2 linked regions of the Pelodiscus sinensis genome follow. The protein of the gene in region 1 interacts with the protein of each later gene in a pairwise test. Links are inferred from orthologs where the notes say so. Each region holds a gene or a part of one and is shown in the gene's direction. Other genes may lie near its edges.

What was found. The genes of interacting proteins can lie anywhere in the genome.
Region 2: the proteins of synaptonemal complex central element protein 1 (region 1) and BFSP2 interact in binary tests that used the Homo sapiens proteins (3 or more experiments, as listed by UniProt). The two-hybrid records come from large-scale screens. The link is inferred for Pelodiscus sinensis from reciprocal best matches to the Homo sapiens genes SYCE1 and BFSP2.

The regions. Positions count from the first base shown.
Region 1 is NW_027465846.1:150,333-160,215, forward strand, and holds the start of synaptonemal complex central element protein 1, read left to right. Parts: upstream 1-5,854; 5' UTR 5,855-5,955; coding exon 5,956-5,974; intron 5,975-7,504; coding exon 7,505-7,567; intron 7,568-8,090; coding exon 8,091-8,150; intron 8,151-8,642; coding exon 8,643-8,717; intron 8,718-9,234; coding exon 9,235-9,282; intron 9,283-9,791; coding exon 9,792-9,846; intron 9,847-9,883. Other genes in the region: vacuolar fusion protein MON1 homolog B-like, read left to right, coding at 480-698. UniProt on the Homo sapiens protein: Major component of the transverse central element of synaptonemal complexes (SCS), formed between homologous chromosomes during meiotic prophase. Requires SYCP1 in order to be incorporated into the central element.
Region 2 is NC_134712.1:179,367,450-179,376,736, reverse strand, and holds the start of BFSP2 (phakinin), read left to right. Parts: upstream 1-5,212; 5' UTR 5,213-7,862; coding exon 7,863-8,318; intron 8,319-9,287. Other genes in the region: TMEM108 (transmembrane protein 108), read left to right, coding at 2,021-2,143.

The DNA.
Region 1 (9,883 bases):
GATTCAGAAAAGGGCAACAAAAAGGATGAGGGGTGTGGAATGGGTCCCGTATGAAGAGAGATTAAAAAGACTGGGATTTTTCAGATGAGAAAAGAGGAGACTAAGGGGAATATGCTAGAGCAGCGTTGTGCAACCCGTGGGTTGCGACCCCCAAGGGGGTTGCGGCTGTCTTCTGGGGGTTGCAGCGGACAGGATCAGGCGCTAGATGGACCTTTGGTCTGACCCAGTATAGCCGTCCTTATGTTCTTAATCGTCATTGGTAGGTTTCAGAGTCAACACATCCCATTGGAACAGATAGCTTGTGCCTCTCCTGGCTGTCCTACTTCAGATGGGTTTCAAGCTTGTGCTCCCTCCCTGAGGGCTAGTGATGAGAAGAAGCCAGGAGGAGAGGGTTAGAGGAGGAGCGCAAGAGATGAGATGGTGCTGGGTTTTGGGGAAAAGATTGCTTGACCTATTCTCTTCCACCTTCTCCTTCCCAGGTGACCAGTAAGTTTGAACTGTACACTTGCTTCAGCCCCCTGGTGACCAAAGCTGGTGCTATCAATGTTCTCACCAAGCTGTTGCGCTGGATCAAGAAGGAGGAGGACCGGCTTTTCATTCGCTACCCCCCCAAGTACTCCACCACACCCAACCCAGGGAAGGGCACCAAGGGCGGCCGGCCCGACGGCGCTGAGAATGGATTTTTTGCTGGCCTCTAAGCCTGGTTTTGCTTCACCCGGGCCCCTGTTTCACCGGTGACTGGATAACGTGGGGGGAAATCTCTTCCTCCAGAGAAACCACTCTCTGTGATCTAGCTCAGGCGTGGCTGGTTCCTTCCAGGGCTCCTGCGATGTGTGGTTGCTTGTCTGTCTTATTTATTGGCCTACTTGTGTCTCCGAGCCTATGTTAAGGAGGCCTGGTTGGGGGAGGATGACGCCGGGCCTTGTTGCTTCACTTTTGAGCCTTGTGCGCTAGGCTGATGTGGGGCGCCAAGGGGCATGACAAGCTTACACTGGCTCCTGTGGCCTGTTACGGGAAGGGCCTGTGCTGAAGGACTCCACCCAAATGATGAAGCTGGGTTTGTGTATGGCATCTCCTCGACGGAAGTTTTTCTTCTAGTACTTGGCTCCTTTCCCCGGAGCCTCTGTTCTCTGCTTCCCAGTGTGGATCAGCTGCCGGTCCCTAAGCAATGGGTTGCAATTGTGTTTCTCCTTCCTTTGGAAGAATTGTGGCTAATTGCATCTCTTGGCATCAGAGCCCGACCTGCTTTGAACCCATTTTTCTAACACTCTCTGCTCTTTAAGTGTCCTAGCCTGGAATGAACTTAGATTTCTTGCAGGACCTGGAGGTCTGTGGCTCATGTTTGATAATAGATTTAGCTGGGTGCTGTGTCTGGAAACAGCGGCTCATGTTTGCCAACCGATTTAAACTGGGCGCTGTGTCTGGAAACGGCAATATGTGCGGTGGAAAGGAGATTACTCCTTCATCTCCTCCTCTCCGTCCCCCGCACATGCTGCTCTCGATGCTGTAAATCGGAAATGGGAGATGCCCCCCATGTTGTGTTCTCTCTCCATGGGCTGGTTGTGTTAGTTAATGTCTGCACCAATGCACTCTCCTCTGTATTAATGTCTGCACCAATGCAGGGGTCTGTATTAATTTAATGTTCCCTTTTGGAAAGGCAGATCCTTTCACAGGAAGATTCAAAATGCTTTTTGAAAGCAACAGACTGCCTCTCTCCTTTGCTGGTGACAGCTGCGCCCTGCCTTACGGTAAATGGGCTGCCCCTTGGCTCTTTTCAGTCTCGTTGTCCATCCGGGCTGCTAGAAGGGCTGTTTGGGGCCTCAGCCGTGGGCTCGAGCCAGAATCTGTGGGATCTGCTTCACCCAGGAAGATCACCCCATGTCTCCGGAGAGCGAGCCCTGCCTGCATCTCCTTTCACTTGCATCTAGCTGCTCCAAGGAGACCTGGCGGGGTTGGGGAAGTGGAAAGTGTTTTCACATGCATGAGGCGCTGTGCCTGGAACCGGCGTGGCTGGCTGTCAAATGAGGTCTCTTCCTGGCTGGCTTGTGGAACTGAGAATCAAAGTCTTATTAAAAAGTTGTTTTGATGAGGGTGTATCTGCCTTGCTTGCTAGCCAGCACGGAGGCTGTAGCCATGAGGAGGAGGAATTGGTGCTTTCTAAATACTAGCTGTGTTGGGATTTCTGCTATAGGGAGCTGTGGATGCACACCAGAGGTCTTGTGTCGATTTTAATACGCTCACCTGTGGATATATGTCGGCTCACAGATGAGCTTGCCCCAAACGTTGTCACACTAACCCTCTGCCTGAGGTTGGCGTTTTCCATCCCGTCAGCCCCGTTCTTTTTGACAGGGGCGAGCAAGGCAAGATGTGATTCCAAATTCGCTGCACTCATTTTTCTCCTCCAGGAGCCTCTTTTCTTCTCGCTGTGTGTTCCACTTAGTTACAGGTGCAGAGGTGGTTATTCATATCTAAGTATTATACCTGCTGTGGGCTGTGTTCCTTCCGCAGCTGCTGGGCTCATTCAGAAGGGAGAGGTACACAAATTGGAGATAAATCGGGCACTAGTTCCAGCAGCGAACTGTGTCTTTTGGGCCAAACCTCTGTCGTTTCACGTGTGAACTGCTGGCGATGGAGGTATGCAACTTTATGGCAGCTGGGGCTCATCTTGCCAGTCAGTCCTTAGCACACGGTCGCTCTGTCTCCCATAAGGAGCACATAACAGGCAGCAAGTTCAGCCGCTCTTGAAGAGGGAAGGAGCGCAGCAAGGCATGGTAGAAAGGTTATGACCGATTCTTATTCACAGCTGTTTTTTCTGGGGTATTGCACCCTGGACCGCAGGCTGTTACTTGACTCTTGTGTGTGCTGATGTGGTGCAGAGAGAGCTGTTGTGCAGAAACGAAGCTACCAGCTGCGCTAGCAAGTTAACCTTGCTACTACAACATTGGAAATAGAAGCATGGACCCAACCAGAGTCCAAAATACCCAGGCGAGCCTCCCGGCTGTTATTTTAAGATGCAGCTCGCGCTCACACCATGCTGTAAGCTGTGTGCATGGGCTCTGCAGAAGGAGATGGGCCTGTGCAAGGAAGGCAGCTGCTGCCTGGAGAGGTCTGGTCCGCTATCCACCCCCGGGCTCCATGCACCAGGAATCTATCTGCACGGGTTGGGGAGGCAGAAACAAGCAATGGCCAGCTGCCTAGCTCAGGCTCCTGCACTTGTCGGGCCACTGAGGTACAGGAGCAGGCTAGGCCTCTGTCCAGTCACTGCCAGCCCTCGCGCATCGCTCGTTCCCTGCCAGTCGTTAGAGCTCCCTATCCCGTACCATCTTCCCAAGCCAATTACCCTCCCTCCCAGCTATGGCCCTTCTCTATGGGGGAGTCTCCCAGGCTGCTAACCACTAGCACATCCTCCCAGGACCCTGCCTTCATGGTGGAGCTCAAGGACCACTGGAGATGTCCTATGTGGGGGAGCGTGGATGTAATCTAGCCCTGTCACAGAAGGCTGGGATGAGCTTAGCCTGGTGTTGGGACAAGGGAGGAGCAGCTGCAGGTCCCATGCTCCAGGGTAGCTGCCTATGGTTCCCTGCTCTAACCCACTGGGACCCCCAAACTGAGTAGAGACCCCCCCACAGCCAGGGGGAGAACCCAGGAATCTTGGCTCCCTGCTCCCCTCCATAGCCCTCAGCCAGGAAAAGAACTCAGGAGGCTGGGCTCCCAGCCCCCCCACCCAGCCAGGGGGAGAACCCAGGGGGAGAACCCAGGAACCCTGTCTCCCAGCCCCCCCAGCTACGGGGAGAACCCAGGAGCCCTGTCTCCCAGTCCCCCCCCCCAGCCAGGGGGAGAACCCAGGAGCCCTGTCTCCCAGCCCCTCCCCCAGCCAGGGGGAGAACCCAGGAGCCCTGTCTCCCAGCCCCCCCCCCCCCAGCCAGGGGGAGAACCCAGGAACCCTGTCTCCCAGCCCCTCCCCCAGCCAGGGGGAGAACCCAGGAGCCCTGTCTCCCAGCCCCCCCCCCCCCAGCCAGGGGGAGAACCCAGGAACCCTGTCTCCCAGCCCCCCCCCCCCAGCCAGGGGGAGAACCCAGGAACCCTGTCTCCCAGCCCCCCCCCCCAGCCAGGGGGAGAGCCCAGGAACCCTGTCTCCCAGCCCCCCCCCCGCCCCACAGCCAGGGGGAGAACCCAGGAACCCTGTCTCCCAGCCCCCCCGCCCCACAGCCAGAGGGAGAGCCCAGGAACCCTGTCTCCCAGCCCCCCCCGCCCCACAGCCAGGGGGAGAACCCAGGAACCCTGTCTCCCAGCCCCCCCGCCCCACAGCCAGAGGGAGAGCCCAGGAACCCTGTCTCCCAGCCCCCCACGCCCCACAGCCAGGGGGAGAACCCAGGAACCCTGTCTCCCAGCCCCCCCGCCCCATAGCCAGGGGGAGAGCCCAGGAACCCTGTCTCCCAGCCCCCCCGCCCCACAGCCAGAGGGAGAGCCCAGGAACCCTGTCTCCCAGCCCCCCCCCCCGCCCCACAGCCAGGGGGAGAACCCAGGAACCCTGTCTCCCAGCCCCCCCGCCCCCCAGCCAGGGGGAGAGCCCAGGAACCCTGTCTCCCAGCCCCCCCGCCCCCCAGCCAGGGGGAGAACCCAGGAACCCTGTCTCCCAGCCCCCCCAGCCAGGGGGAGAACCCAGGAACCCTGTCTCCCAGGCCCCCCCCCCCCCAGCCAGGGGGAGAGCCCAGGAACCCTGTCTCCCAGCCCCCCCCCCCCCCAGCCAGGGGGAGAGCCCAGGAGCCCTGTCTCCCAGCCCCCCCCCCAGCCAGGGGGAGAGCCCAGGAACCCTGTCTCCCAGCCCCCCCCCCCCGCCCCACAGCCAGGGGGAGAACCCAGGAACCCTGTCTCCCAGCCCCCCCGCCCCACAGCCAGAGGGAGAGCCCAGGAACCCTGTCTCCCAGCCCCCCCCCGCCCCACAGCCAGAGGGAGAGCCCAGGAACCCTGTCTCCCAGCCCCCCCGCCCCATAGCCAGGGGGAGAGCCCAGGAACCCTGTCTCCCAGCCCCCCCCGCCCCACAGCCAGAGGGAGAGCCCAGGAACCCTGTCTCCCAGCCCCCCCCCGCCCCACAGCCAGGGGGAGAACCCAGGAACCCTGTCTCCCAGCCCCCCCGCCCCCCAGCCAGGGGGAGAGCCCAGGAACCCTGTCTCCCAGCCCCCCCGCCCCACAGCCAGGGGGAGAACCCAGGAACCCTGTCTCCCAGCCCCCCCAGCCAGGGGGAGAACCCAGGAACCCTGTCTCCCAGCCCCCCCCCCCAGCCAGGGGGAGAGCCCAGGAACCCTGTCTCCCAGCCCCCCCCCCCCCCCCAGCCAGGAGGAGAGCCCAGGAACCCTGTCTCCCAGCCCCCCCCCCCAGCCAGGGGGAGAGCCCAGGAACCCTGTCTCCCAGCCCCCCCCCCCCCCAGCCAGGAGGAGAGCCCAGGAACCCTGTCTCCCAGCCCCCCCCCCACCCAGGGGGAGAACCCAGGAACCCTGTCTCCCAGCCCCCCCAGCCAGGGGGAGAACCCAGGAACCCTGTCTCCCAGCCCCCCCCCCCCCCAGCCAGGAGGAGAGCCCAGGAACCCTGTCTCCCAGCCCCCCCCCCCACCCAGGGGGAGAACCCAGGAACCCTGTCTCCCAGCCCCCCCAGCCAGGGGGAGAACCCAGGAACCCTGTCTCCCAGCCCCCCCCCCCCCCCAGCCAGGGGGAGAGCCCAGGAACCCTGTCTCCCAGCCCCTCCCCCAGCGAGCAGTTAGCCCCTCCTCTTTGGAAGGGGGCGGGGCCCTAGCCATTGGAAAACACGGCACGAGCCCCGGAGGGGGCGGGGCCGCAGCAGCCGTTGGAAAAAGGCGGGAAAAAAGCGTAGGAGGGGCAGTTTCAAGGCTTCCCCTTCCACCCGCGGTGCGACTAGGCGCAGGTGTTAAGGCCCCCCCAGCTCTCTGGACACAGGGCCATGGAGAGGAGTGGACAGAGTGAGGGGGATGGGCGGAGGGGGCACAGCTCCAGCCCCACAGCGCAGGGCGCCCATGGCAGTTACATAGCACCAAGGGGGGCGTCCCACAGCGCCCTGCCCCCTCACGCCAAGGGGGGCGCCCCACAGCGCCCTGCCCCCTCACACCAAGGGGGGCGTCTCACAGCGCCCTGCCCCCTCACACCAAGGGGGGCGTCTCACAGCGCCCTGCCCCCTCACGCCAAGGGGGGTGTCCCACAGCGCCCTGCCCCCTCACGCCAAGGGGTGCCCCACAGCACCCTGCCCCCTCACGCCAAGGGGGGCGCCCCACAGCGCCCTGCCCCCTCACACTGGGGGGTGCCCCACAGCGCCCTGCTTCCTCACACCGGGGGGTGCCCCACAGCGCCCTGCCCCCTCACGCCAAGGGGGGTGCCCCACAGCGCCCTGCCCCCTCACACCAAGGGGGAGCGTTCCACAGCGCCCTGCCCCCTCACGCCAAGGGGGGCGTCCCACAGCGCCCTGCTCCCTCACGCCAAGGGGGGCGCCCCACTGCGCCCTGCCCCCTCACACCGGGGGGGCGTCCCACAGCGCCCTGCTCCCTCACGCCAAGGGGGGTGTCCCACAGCGCCCTGCCCCCTCACACCGGGGGGCGCCCCACAGCGCCCTGCTTCCTCACACCGGGGGGTGCCCCACAGCGCCCTGCCCCCTCACGCCAAGGGGGGCGCCCCACAGCGCCCTGCCCCCTCACACCAAGGGGGAGCGTTCCACAGCGCCCTGCCCCCTCACGCCAAGGGGGGGGCGCCCCACTGTGCCCTGCCCCCTCACACCGGGGGGGCGTCCCACTGCGCCCTGCCCCCTCACACCGGGGGGTGCCCCACTGCGCCCTGCCCCCTCATGCCAAGGGGGGCGCCCCACAGCGCCCTGCCCCCTCACACCGGGGTGGGGGGTGTCCCACTGCGCCCTGCCCCCTCACACCGGGGTGGGGGGTGTCCCACTGCGCCCTGCCCCCTCACGCCAAGGGGGGCGCCCCACAGCGCCCTGCCCCCTCACGCCAAGGGGGGCGCCCCACAGCGCCCTGCTCCCTCACACCAAGGGCGGGCGTCTCACAGCGACCTGCTCCCTCACACCGGAGGGCGCCCCACAGCGCCCTGCCCCCTCACGCCAAGGGGGGCGCCCCACAGCGCCCTGCCCCCTCACGCCAAGGGCGGTGCCCCACAGTGCCCTGCCCCCTCACATCGGGGGGCGTCCCACAGCACCCTGCTCCCTCACGCCAAGGGGGCGTCTCACAGCGCCCTGCTCCCTCACACGTTGGGCCACGGTACCCTTGTTGCCCCCACCAGGGACCAGCAAGCCCCCAATGCCTTCCTCCCACCAAGCAGGGGTTAGCGCCAAGGCAATCCCACAGTGCCCGTCTCCCTCGTGCCCTGGGCTGGATAAAGCCGAGTCCAGCCTGCAATGCCTTCTCTAGCCCGTTGTGGGGGCGGGTAAATCCCCAGTTACAGGCTCGGGGGGAATTCTCAAAGCAATTGATTTTTTTGTTTCCTCTTCCCAGTTCCCAGCAGCTTCACGCCCAAGGCAGAGGAGCTGCTAGTGCTGGTGAAACAACTGCAGGATGGTACCCACGAGCTGGGTGTGGTGTTTAAGCAACCGGGAATCAGGGTCCTCTCCCCAGCTCTGGAAGGAGATTGGGACACGTTGGTCGGGGGGGGGGGGGGCAGCTAGGCGCTAGGAGTCCTGGGCTCTGTACCTGGCCCTGCAAGGGGAGTAGGGTCCAGTGGTTGGGGTGGGGGGGGGGGGGGGGAAGCTGGGATTCTTGGGTTCTACCTCCAGGTCTAGGAAAGGAGTGGGACCTAGAGGCGGGGCGGGGGGGGAGGCCTGCAAGCCAGGACACTTGGGTTTTCTCCCCAGCTCTGGGAGGAGGGGGGCATCTAGCCTGGAGTCTGTAAGGGGGGGGCTCTTGTTCTTTTCCTGGCTCTGCCCATGACTTTCGGTGTGACTTCTCTGTGTCTCAGTCCCCTGCCCCTCCGTAAGCGGAGCCAGGAATAACCGCTTCCCCCCCGGGCACGCTCCAAAGAGCTGGGGGTGAAGGACCCTTGTCAGGAGCACAACCAGGCAAGCCCTTCCCCTTCCCTCCGCAGCAGGGACACTGGAGCCCCGAATGGACGACCTGGTAGGAAGGCTCAGGAAACTGCAGCGAGGTGAGGGGAGGGGAGGGGAAGGGAAGGGAGAGTGCTCCCGTTACAGCCTGTTCCCCCGCACCCTCATTGCCGGGACCGTAGCACTGCCCCCCATGTCCCCGCCAACATTTGAATTGCTAAATAGGGGTATGTCTACACTACCGCCCTAGTTCGAACTAGGGTGGTTAATGTAGGCAACCGAAGTTGCAAATGAAGCCTGGGATTTGAATTTCCCGGGCTTCATTTGCATATTGCCGGGCGCCGCCATTTTTAAATGTCCGCTAGTTCGGACTCTGTGCCCACGGCTACACGCGGCACGGACTAGGTAGTTCGGATTAGGCTTCCTATTCCGAACTACCGTTACTCCTCGTGGAACCCCTCTGTCTACCCCTCCCCACGTACACCCCTCCGTCTATCCACCCCTCCTCATTACACACCCCACCTCTCCAGCCCCAAAGAAGTCTCTCTCTCTCTCTCCTCACCTTCCCCCCAACCCGCTTGGTCTTGCCATAGCTAAGCAGGCTCTGAGCCAGGAGCTGCAGGACAGCCAGGCGCGCAGCAAGGAATTGCAGGAAGAGCTGGAGGAGCGTAAGTCACCCCCGCCCGGCACGGTTCCACGTTGCTCCTCAGGTCATTGGGTCGGATTCTCCAAGGAGCCTGTCTCCTGCCGGGCCGCGGCTTCCTGCTTCGTATCTGCGGGTCACTGCCTCCGTGGATGTGGTTGCAGAAATCCGGGGATCGTTTCTGTGCCCACGGATACAAATGTTGTGCCCTCTCAGGGCTCTATTAATCACTCGAAGGATTTGGGCCATGGGATCTTCTGAGCTCTCTGACAGCAGCCCCCTTTTGCACTGCAGACAACACCCCTACCCGGCTGCATGCTCGGGGGCTGGACCCCCTGTCAGCAGGTGGGATATGTCCCCACATCCCAGAGGACACGGGTAGAGCCCTGTGCGGACCTGTATCCGCACCCACAAAAAGAGCCGTGGAGATCTGCCTTGCCATCCGCAGAGGCGCAGCCCATGGCTAGAAAGCGGATATCTGCAGGCTCGCAGGGCACTCGATTCGGGTCCCAGCCTGGTTGTTTCCCGCCCCCCTCTTGCAGTGAACGTGGAGAAGTCGAACCTGGAGGAAATCTGCAGCCAGAAGCAAGGTGAGAGCAGGCTTTTACCAGGAGGGAAGGCAGCTTGACTGAGGGACACAGGAAGGGCTGGACCGCCGGGGGAGGGTGCTGACCGTGTCCGTCCAGCGCTTTGAGACCCACCCATGAGACGGGCTTGAGAAGAGACAGGTGTGATCGTTACCAGCTTGCATACCGTGTGGGCTCCTGTGTGGCCCCTCCCAGCCCCCTCTGTTAAAGAGACTTCGTTCTCTCTCCTGCCGGGGGGGCTGTGTCCCCCAGTTACCCCCACCGGGGGCTCTGTGTGTCCCCTTTGCCCCCTGCCCTCACACCAGGGTCCCCCAATTTCCCCCATCCCAGGCCCTCTGTGTGTCCTCCATTCCCCATCCTCTCATAGCAGGGTTCCCTGCCCCCATCTGTCTGGCAATCTTCTCTTCGGTCCATTGGAGCTGCCCGAGGGCAGGCCGGAGCGAGCCCCTGGGCTGTGGGGTGGCCCCAGCAGGGAGCCAGGACCCCTGCACTAACACTTCTGTTCCCTCCAGAGCTGCTCCGGACCCTGCAGCTCCGCTCCCAGGAGACGGAGGCGGAAGGCCAGAGGTGAAAGGGGCAGGAGGGAGGGATGGAGATGCAGAAG
Region 2 (9,287 bases), on another chromosome or scaffold:
CTCTCCACTATATCCTGCACATTTCCCATCACTGCCCTCCACAGCAGAAGGATATTGATTGCTTTGGCTACTTTGATCACCCCACACCCCACTGTGGATTCCTCCACTTCAAGTTGATTCCCAGCTGATTGGTAGCATTGCAAGCTTCCACAGGGGAATTTCCCCTCAGTTCTCCTCTCTCAGAGTGGATCTCATTCTGGTATTCTTGTGCTTTGGGGTGAGGGAAAGCAATTCGCAAACTTCCATGAAAGTGGCCACTGCTAGTTGCTCCATAGCTGCATCACTATGTGGTCCCACGGCACCAGAACAGGCATTCCACTGTGTCCACAGGATCAAATGCTGGCGGAATTTGCCCAACTCATGTTTCACAGAAGAATATATTTATGGCCTCTCAAGATTTGGCCTCATTCCATGGACCCTGGATACATTATGAACATACTTTAACATAAGATGCACCATGGCTAATATGTTTGCCATAATACTTCGGTTTCACAATGGGTTCCATGCTTCCCCTGCTATGGCATCTGCACAGATAATCCGGGGGGAAAGAGCATGAAAAGACTGTTTGCCATTGCTTTCAAGCAGTACGGGAGGGAGGAGACGAATGCATTATGGGACACTGATGATATGTACCCAGAACCACCCACTACATAGTTTTGATCCCAGCATGCACTAGGCTCATAACCCAGAATGCAAAGGGGAGACAGGAACTTTGGGCATTGCTCTCAAAGTCAACGGTGGCCACCCTACTGGGGGTTCACTACTTTGAACAACGCTGAATTCTTGCACACAGTGGGGACATGCACCTTTGACTTGACAAAAGCAGGTGCTAAAAAAAAAAAAAATCAATCTTAATAAATTCAACCTTATCTCATAGTGTAGACAAGGCCTTAGTTAGCTGGCACTTATTTAATTCAATTTGAAACCAAACCACAAAATCTACTCTAAGCATTCCAAGAGACAACTTCCTCACAGTGAAAACTGTTAGGGTGTAGAACAGTCACCAAAACGAGAAGTTGTAGGAGCCCTACCACTGGAGTTATTTAAAACTGAATTGGACGTCATAATAGAGCGTGTATTATATGCAGCCTGCAAGTTGCCCCTAAAAAGCAACTAAGGATCAGTGCAGCATAGGCAGTCTCACAAAATGTCCTCACATGTCCAGCATCCCTAACCGGCCATTTGAGGTGACATAGGAGCACCAAGATGGACAGATACTAATAAGAAATAAAGCAATCCTTTGATGAAAAAGTGGATATCTTGCTATTTTTTAATAAGGAAAACTAGTTTAAAAAAAAAGTAAGTTCTGTTGATTCCTACCCTTAACCTAAGTACATTGTACATTGGGGCTCTGTAATTTCTAATTTTAGCAGAAAACTTAGCTAAAGCCAGAACTGTAACCATAAAGTTTCTTTGCTGTCTTGTCACTAACTTGAAGTGGAAAAGGAACACACTTCAGTGTTAATATCACAGACATTTTCTGTACAGTCTAGCACCAAGTTAGTTGTTTATTACATTAAAAAAAAAAAGAGGTCAAAAATGTAATTCCTTTGTATGCGGGCTTGGGAGAGTCTCTCTGAAAGCTAACTAGTTGGGAATAATGGATATGACATTTCACACAAAAAAATTGTTTGCAAAATTTAAAGAAAGCAAAATTACACGAGGCCAAATTCTGTAAAATAGTCTCTAATTTTGGGCTCCTCAATTCTTGGGTGGCCAAGTTGAGTAAGTAGTGGCCTGATTTTTCAACCCACAGCTCCCATTTGACTGCAGTTAGAGCAAAACCTCCGGAAATCAAGCCCTGGTTTTCTAAAGCTGGATAGTCAGAACCTGGGACACCTAAAAATAGGGACACTTTGAAGAATTTGGACATATTTTCTCAGCTTTCACTCTATAGGGCTTATATCATCACCATGTTCCTTTATATATAATAAAGGCAAACTGCAATGTGCTGTGATGTACACCAAGAGTTAATAACAGAATCTAAATAGCTCATGCTCTTTTTTCTCTCTCTCCTTAGGACCATCTGTCTGAGCCACGTTCCCCAGCCAATGGTGATTACAGAGACAGTGGGATGGTCCTTGTTAACCCCTTTTGTCAAGAAACGCTATTTGTAGGACATGAGCAAGTGTCTGAAATATGATCCCACACCTGCCCTTGTATTGCAGTTCCATCTTTAGTGTCTCCAAATTATAAATAAATATATATATTATAAATATAATCTTTGTGTAACCCTGAATTATGAGAAATGTTTTCAGCTTTTTTCCCCTAAAAATTGTCAACTTCTTTTTTATAAGTGTGGTAAAACTTTACAGAAAACTGTGGCTTTATAAAATAAAAGTATTTCTAAGCAAAACACCTACTGAACCAACTGCTTTTCCTGCTATCATTTACTAACTGCTTTTACAAAATGCTTAGTCAGTATCGTCACTACGGAAGGTTAGCCTCTCTGAAGACTGTGCTTATTTGGTACTGCACAGGACTCTTTTTCCAAGGGACAGGCCTCTGCTGTACACTGGGAACCCCACCGTTCATTAGGTTTCACCAGTTGTAGTCATGTCTGGCTATAGAATCCCTCACCAGGAACTCATGACCAATGTAAAAAGCAAAGACTCGGGATAGCTTCTTCAAAACAAGTATGATTTTGGTTCATAGAAATGTAACTAGCAGACAAAAAACGGGTAAAACAATAAAAGACTGACCACACATTTTCATACCAAAACTTAAGTCTTTCTTTGCTAATTTAAACAGGCCCTTAACTTATCCAACTCTGAGAATCAGCTTGCCTCTCCCTAGACTGCCTATCTAGGTCTCCTAGAATCTCCCCCTCTTGGTCATGCTTCTTTGATCAGAACCAAAGCTTTTTGTTTTTATGTCTCACCATGACCTTCCCCCTTCCCCTCCTCACGAGTGCTTTGAGTTTAGGTGAAACATAAAAGGTAATAACTGTGGTGTAGTCTTGCGGAGTACTGATCATAACACTTAGTCTGAAATCACTGACATTTTTTGCCGGAATTAACTCTAGTAGTCACAGAGCCAGCAATGCAGTAACAATCACAGAAATGCAAGGCTGGAAGGGACCTCTAGTGTTCACCTAGTCCAGTCCTCTGCACTAAGACCGGGGCAAGTAAACCTAGGCCATCCTTGACAATTGTATGTCCAACCTGTTCTTAAAAACCTCCACTGATGGGAATTCCACAGCTTCCCTTGAAAACTATTCCAAAGTTTAGCTATATAGTTAGAAAGCTTTTCCTAATATCAAACCTAAATCTCCCTTGCTGCAGATTAAGTCAAGTGTTTATTTTCCTATCTTCAATGGTCATGGGTAACAATTGATCACCATCCTTTTTTTAACAGCTCTGAACATATTTAAACATGCACATACAATATTCATTAAGGGTGTGTCTAGACTACATGGTTCCGTCAACGGAGCCATATAGTCTAGACACACCCTAAGATAAAACAGACTTATCGCCCTTACTTGGTACACATTCCACATTAGATTCACTTGATAGAGCAAGTGCAGGAGATCTCATATGCTGAGATATGTTCTAGCTGTTTCTGTGTTATGAAAGAGACAGCACCACAGTGAGCCCCTCCTAGCACTCGCACTGTAGACCCAGACAGTGTGCTGATGCTAGCAGTTGTGGAGCTTTAGGGAATTGGCTACCAAGCCTGGCAGCAGTTCAGTCATTGTGCCAGTAGGGAATGGACAGCGAGATCAAGGGGTTGGAAAAGGCACTATCTCCTGTGAGCATCTAGCCGCACAAGCAGAGGAGATGAATGTTTCATCTTTTATTAAATGAGATATTTATGTACTGTGCTCCCACAGTGCTCTCAGAATACCTCCGTTCTTCTGCAACATCGCCAAATCCCCAGTACTCCTCCCATCAAACAGTGTTCATAGGAATCTGGATAGCACATAATATGCACAATTCTAAGAGAAGAACAGTGCTGTCAGGGACTAATCCCCTTCTCGTTCACAGGCAGCACTCACATTGAAGTCCTGGTGAGGATGCAAGATTTGCAGTAGATTCTATAGAACCAATAGATCGCGATCTACCAGTAGCTCTTGAGCCCTCTCTGAACTGCGCACCTTCGCAGTGCATTTACATTAGATTTCCTCATGTAATGTAGGCAGGGCTTCAAGGAAGGGGCGGGGCAGTAGATCTTCACCTGTTCTGAGACTTAAAAAGTGATCTTGGGTGTAAAAAGGTTGGAGACCACTGCTATAGGGTATAATGGCAGTAAAGGACATCCATCTTTTAAGCCTGCCTGCAAGCTGCAATAGCCAAATTAAAACCGTGGTGGGTAATAAGGAGCAAGATGTATTAAAAGTAGTAGAGAACATGAAAACTTTAATGCCATATCTAAAGCAGCGGTTCTCAAAAGGTGAGACGGGACCCCAAAGTGGGTACTGACCCCATTCTAATGAGGTCACCAGGACTGGCTTAGACTTGCTGCAGCAAAAGCCAGAGCCCCACCAGTCCTGGTTTCAGCCCTGGGCATCAGGGCTCAGATTACAGGCCCAGGATCTTGGGGCCACAAAAGCAGTTTAGACCCATCCCTTCAATAATGCTAAGACACTATTTTGAATCTGTGCCACAGTCTTCAGAGATTTATAAAACCATAGCTGCTAAGGACAGAATGGATATCATGGGTCATTTGGTTCATCTCTTTAAATCAGAGCAGTCTCGTTTCTCTTGCTCTCTAAATCAGTAGATTTATTGTCAAGTTATTGTAGATGGCTATGGACATTGAGAGGATTCAGGTGCACATGCTTAGTGGAGAGACAAAAGCTGTGCATCCCTCTATCCTTAACTCTGGTGAATGAAGGATAAACGCAGTATTTGATGAGCATCAGATCTGATTAGGGCTTAAACTCCACCAGCAGTTTGGCCTGTGGAAAAGGCTGCAGGACACCACACACAGGCTGTGTCTACACTGCACCCCTTTTCCGGAAAAGGGATGCAGATTAGACACTTCAGAATTGCAAATCCGCGGGGGATTTAAATATCCCCCATGGCATTTGCATTTACATGGCTGCCGCTCTTTTCCGGCTTGGGGATAAGCTGGAGAAAAGCGCCAGTCTAGACGCAATTCTCCGGAAAATAAGCCCTTTTCCGGAGGATTTCTTATTCCTACTTTCAATTTGGAAAAAAGCGGCAGCCATGTAAATGCAAATGCCGCGGGGGATATTTAAATCCCCCGTGGATTTGCAATTCCGAAGTGTCTAATCTGCATCCCTTTTCCGGAAAAGGGGTGCAGTGTAGACACAGCCACTGTGTATTTATAATCTGAAGCATAAAAGAAGAGTGAACAGAGCTAAACTCATTTCTTCCTCAAAGACGCAGGTACAATTCCCATTGGGTTAAATAAGAGCTGTACTTATTTCTCTAAGGGCTGAATTGTCAAACTTGGTTATATGAGCGGACTGGAAATAGTACAATATAGATTATCTGTCACAATGTGTATACATATGTGCATAGGCTTTGAGTCACACCTGCTAGTATTAAGGGTGTCAATTCAAATTTCACTCCCTTGTGCCAGCAACAGTCACTACACCAAAAGGGGATTCACCCCTGTAGAAAGGAAAGTGGGATTTATGCCACCAACATCTCCTCAAGGTACTTCCAAGGGAGTGTTCCCTTCAGCTCACCAGTGGAGTTTTCTAGAAGGCCTCCTTCACAGGTTCCCTAATCAGGTCACTGATTTAGTACATTCCCTAGCATGTCATGGCCATCACTAGGGCCCTACCAAATTCTCGGTCTATTCTGATCAATTTAACAGATGGAGGGTTTTAAAAAGTGTCCATTTTCATGATTTCAGATGTTGATATGTGAACTTTTATGGGGTTGTAACTATGGGGGTCTTGACCCAAAATGGGATAGGGAGAGGCTGCAAAGTTGAGAAGGGATCCCAAGTTTGCCACCCTGACTTCTGTGCTGCCTTCGGGGCTGAGGTGGAGATGGTGCCTAGAGGTGCCAGAGATTTCCAGCTGCTCTCCCAGGCCAGTGGCAGAGTAAGGCAGGCATTCCCAGCTAATTTGGGGGCCTGCAATAAAAATGGGTGCCCCAGACCTAGAAGAAGTCCTGGGGCAATAGCTTCAACTCAGTACCCCAAGTCCCAGCAGGAGCCTCCAAGGAAGGAAGCCCAGAGTGCCAGGGCCACAGAGAAGCTGTGGAAGAGGGGGGAGAAGCCCAGAGCCTGGGCAGCCTTAGCCACAGCCATTGGGAGTGGAAGTTCACAGCCCCAGCAAGAATCACTTGGGAGGAAGCCCTGAGCTCGGTGCCCTGAGGGCAAGGGAGGGAGGAAAGCCCCGAGGCCTAGGCTGGAGCAGAAGCCACCCAACCCCAGCAGAAGCTGCCAGGGGAGGATGCCCTGAGCTCAGCACTCAGAGCATGCAGGAGTGGGGGCAGAAATCTAGGGTCCAGGCGACCCTGGCTGCAACTGCCAGGAGCAGAATCCCTCAGCACCAGCACAAGTCTCTGGGGCTACGTCTATACTGCACCCTTCTTCCTCAAAAGCTCATGCAAATGAAGCACGGAGTAGAATATCGTCACACTTCATTTGCATAAATAATTAGGGGGCCGTTTTTGCACAAGAGACTTTTGCGCAAAAACCCTCTCTTGCACAAGAGCTGTTCTTCCTCATTTTTTCAGAAGACAGAAGACATGATGTAGAAAAAATACATGCTGTCCCACATACCAGGAACCCTAGCTCCCATACCTAGGGAAACAAGCATTAAAAAAATTGTAATATACAGATGTTTTGGATGACATGGCTTAGAAAGGACATGATATTTCCATTTTGCATATACAAAGATGCTAATTCAATCTTAATATCTAGAACAAATGCATCTACCAATGTTCTCCAATTTCTGGGAAAGTATACACCACCACCACAGCATGACAAAAAGCTAGTGAATCTAACCATTCTGGCAACAGAAATTTCCCTGCATACTACAGATACCAAATCTGCCGTGCATTAACCTTCCTGATAACAAAAATATCAACATACTATACTATTCTGAAAAGGCTATGGGTGTTAGAAATCAACAAGGCATATAAAGCAGAGGAGTAAGACTAAATTACTACTAGAGACAGCAAACTAAATCACTACAAAATGCTGAACAGATTCCACTGGTACTCCACCAATTAGCTCCTATCCTAAAGGCTGATGATAGCAAAAAAAGATAGGGATTTAGGCTATGAGATTGCCTCAATATAACAAAATACTGGCTAGAAATCTGCCTTCCACAAAAAAACCCCAACAAAACAAAACAAGTTAGACAAACGACTATCAGCAATTATCTAATTATTATGTCAGCCTGCTTTGAGTACAGGGGAGTAGACTACATGACCTCTTGTGGTTCCTTACAGTTCTACACTTCCATGATAATCTAAATAGGACAATGCATGAAGTAAAGTACTTCTCAACATGAGTAAGGGTAAAAGAATCTAGCTGTGTGTATGTGTGCTCGCATGCACAATGTATATATAAAATGCTAAAAATCTGTCTGGCTTGCTGTCTAAAAAACAGCAGTACTATTTTACCATGTGCACTGTAAGGAGTTATTGTTCTGCATTCACTGTAAACAGCTTTGTCCTTTTCATACTTGCAGCAGTAGCAGCAGAGAGATTTCTCTTTAAATGGATTTGCTGACCCAATGAAAAGCCCCAATGTGACAAACATGCCTGTGACGATCAGTGAAACACAATGTTAACGTTCCAGAAGGGGACAAAGCAAAAACACAAAACCAAAAATCTGCTTGGGTCTGCACATCTGACCAGTGTGGGTATGGCACAAGGGGCTTCAAGGCAGAGGCAACTTTTTTTAGTGCAATAGATTCGAGCAACAGCATGCCCATGCCAAGACGCAGATCTTCATTCTTGGGGCAACAGCCATCTTCCTCCATGACTGAAAGCACTGGGGCTACCAGCCAAAGGTTAAGCATTGGAGGTGGAGGAAGCCTACCAAGATCTCGAGGTGTCTATGTGGGTATTGTCCCCACTGGAGGCATGAGCAGCCTAGGGACCCGCGTGTCCCGTAGAGCCCTAGGCATCAGCAGTGTCTTCTTACAAGGCCTGCGCAGTTCCTGTTCAGCTGTGCCATTATCTCAGGGGCTGGAGAAGGGAAGGGGCCTATCCTATGAAAGCCTGAACGGAAGCCTGGTGGAATACATAGAGAAAGTGAGAGCTCTAGAACAGGTCAATCAAGAGCTTGAAGAGCATATCAGAGTCTACCTGGAAAAGAAGTCATCCAATGTCAACAACTGGGAAGCACTGAGAGAAAACTGGGAAACTATCTATCATCAAGTGAGTACAAGATTTTTAACAATGACAAAGATGAGTGAATCATTAGCAAACCCCTAACAGTGGGTTTCGATGCTGATGATAAATGCAGCCTGATTCCAATGCACTATGTCTTGGATGAAGGATTTCAAATCTCCATCATAATTAGTATTATCATTTCACAGTGTATTGTGGAAAAGACTTATTAAACAGGAGAGGAGCTCCAGGCATTATGTACACGGGAGTGATTGAAGCGCACCCCGTGGTGTTATAGTCTGGCCTGATTAAAATCAAATCAGTTGTTTTCTCTTAGTTGTGGTTATTACAGTGAGGAACAGAATTATTAAATGAAAGCTACTAAGAATGAATGAGTTTATCCACCAACTTGATATCATCACAGTCTTGTTTAATTAGCAATTCAGAGTTCAGTTTTATTCTCTCATTTGTGTAATCACATTTTCAAAAGCTCTATTTAGTTAAAAGTAATAATTATATAACCACAACTGGATGGTTCCCACTTGGACACTCCTCCCCAACTCCTCAGCCCTTCACCACTCTCTATCCTCCACATAATCAGTGTTTTATACAGTGTTTTAAGGCGGCATATTCTGCACAAGAAAAAATATTTAGCAGCTGACTGTAAAATGGAAACTGTGTTTGTATCATGGATAATAATAATAATAATAATAAAAAATCTGGAAAGCCAACACAAACCTGCAAGTGATACTTTTTGTGGGGCTAATGAAAGGTCAATGCAAAAACAGCAGGTATTGGAATCTTTATGTTTCACTTGTGCAGTATGCAAAAAGCATACACTTTCATCTGAGATCTCAAACACTTTAAAAATATTTACCATCTAAGTCTCACAACATGTTTAAAGTAGGATGTTTTCTAACTGGGCAAAGGGAGGCATACATAGGCATAGTAACTTGCCTTGGAAAGACAATGGATCAATAGCAGAATCAAAAAGAGAATCCAAGTGTTCCGAGTCCT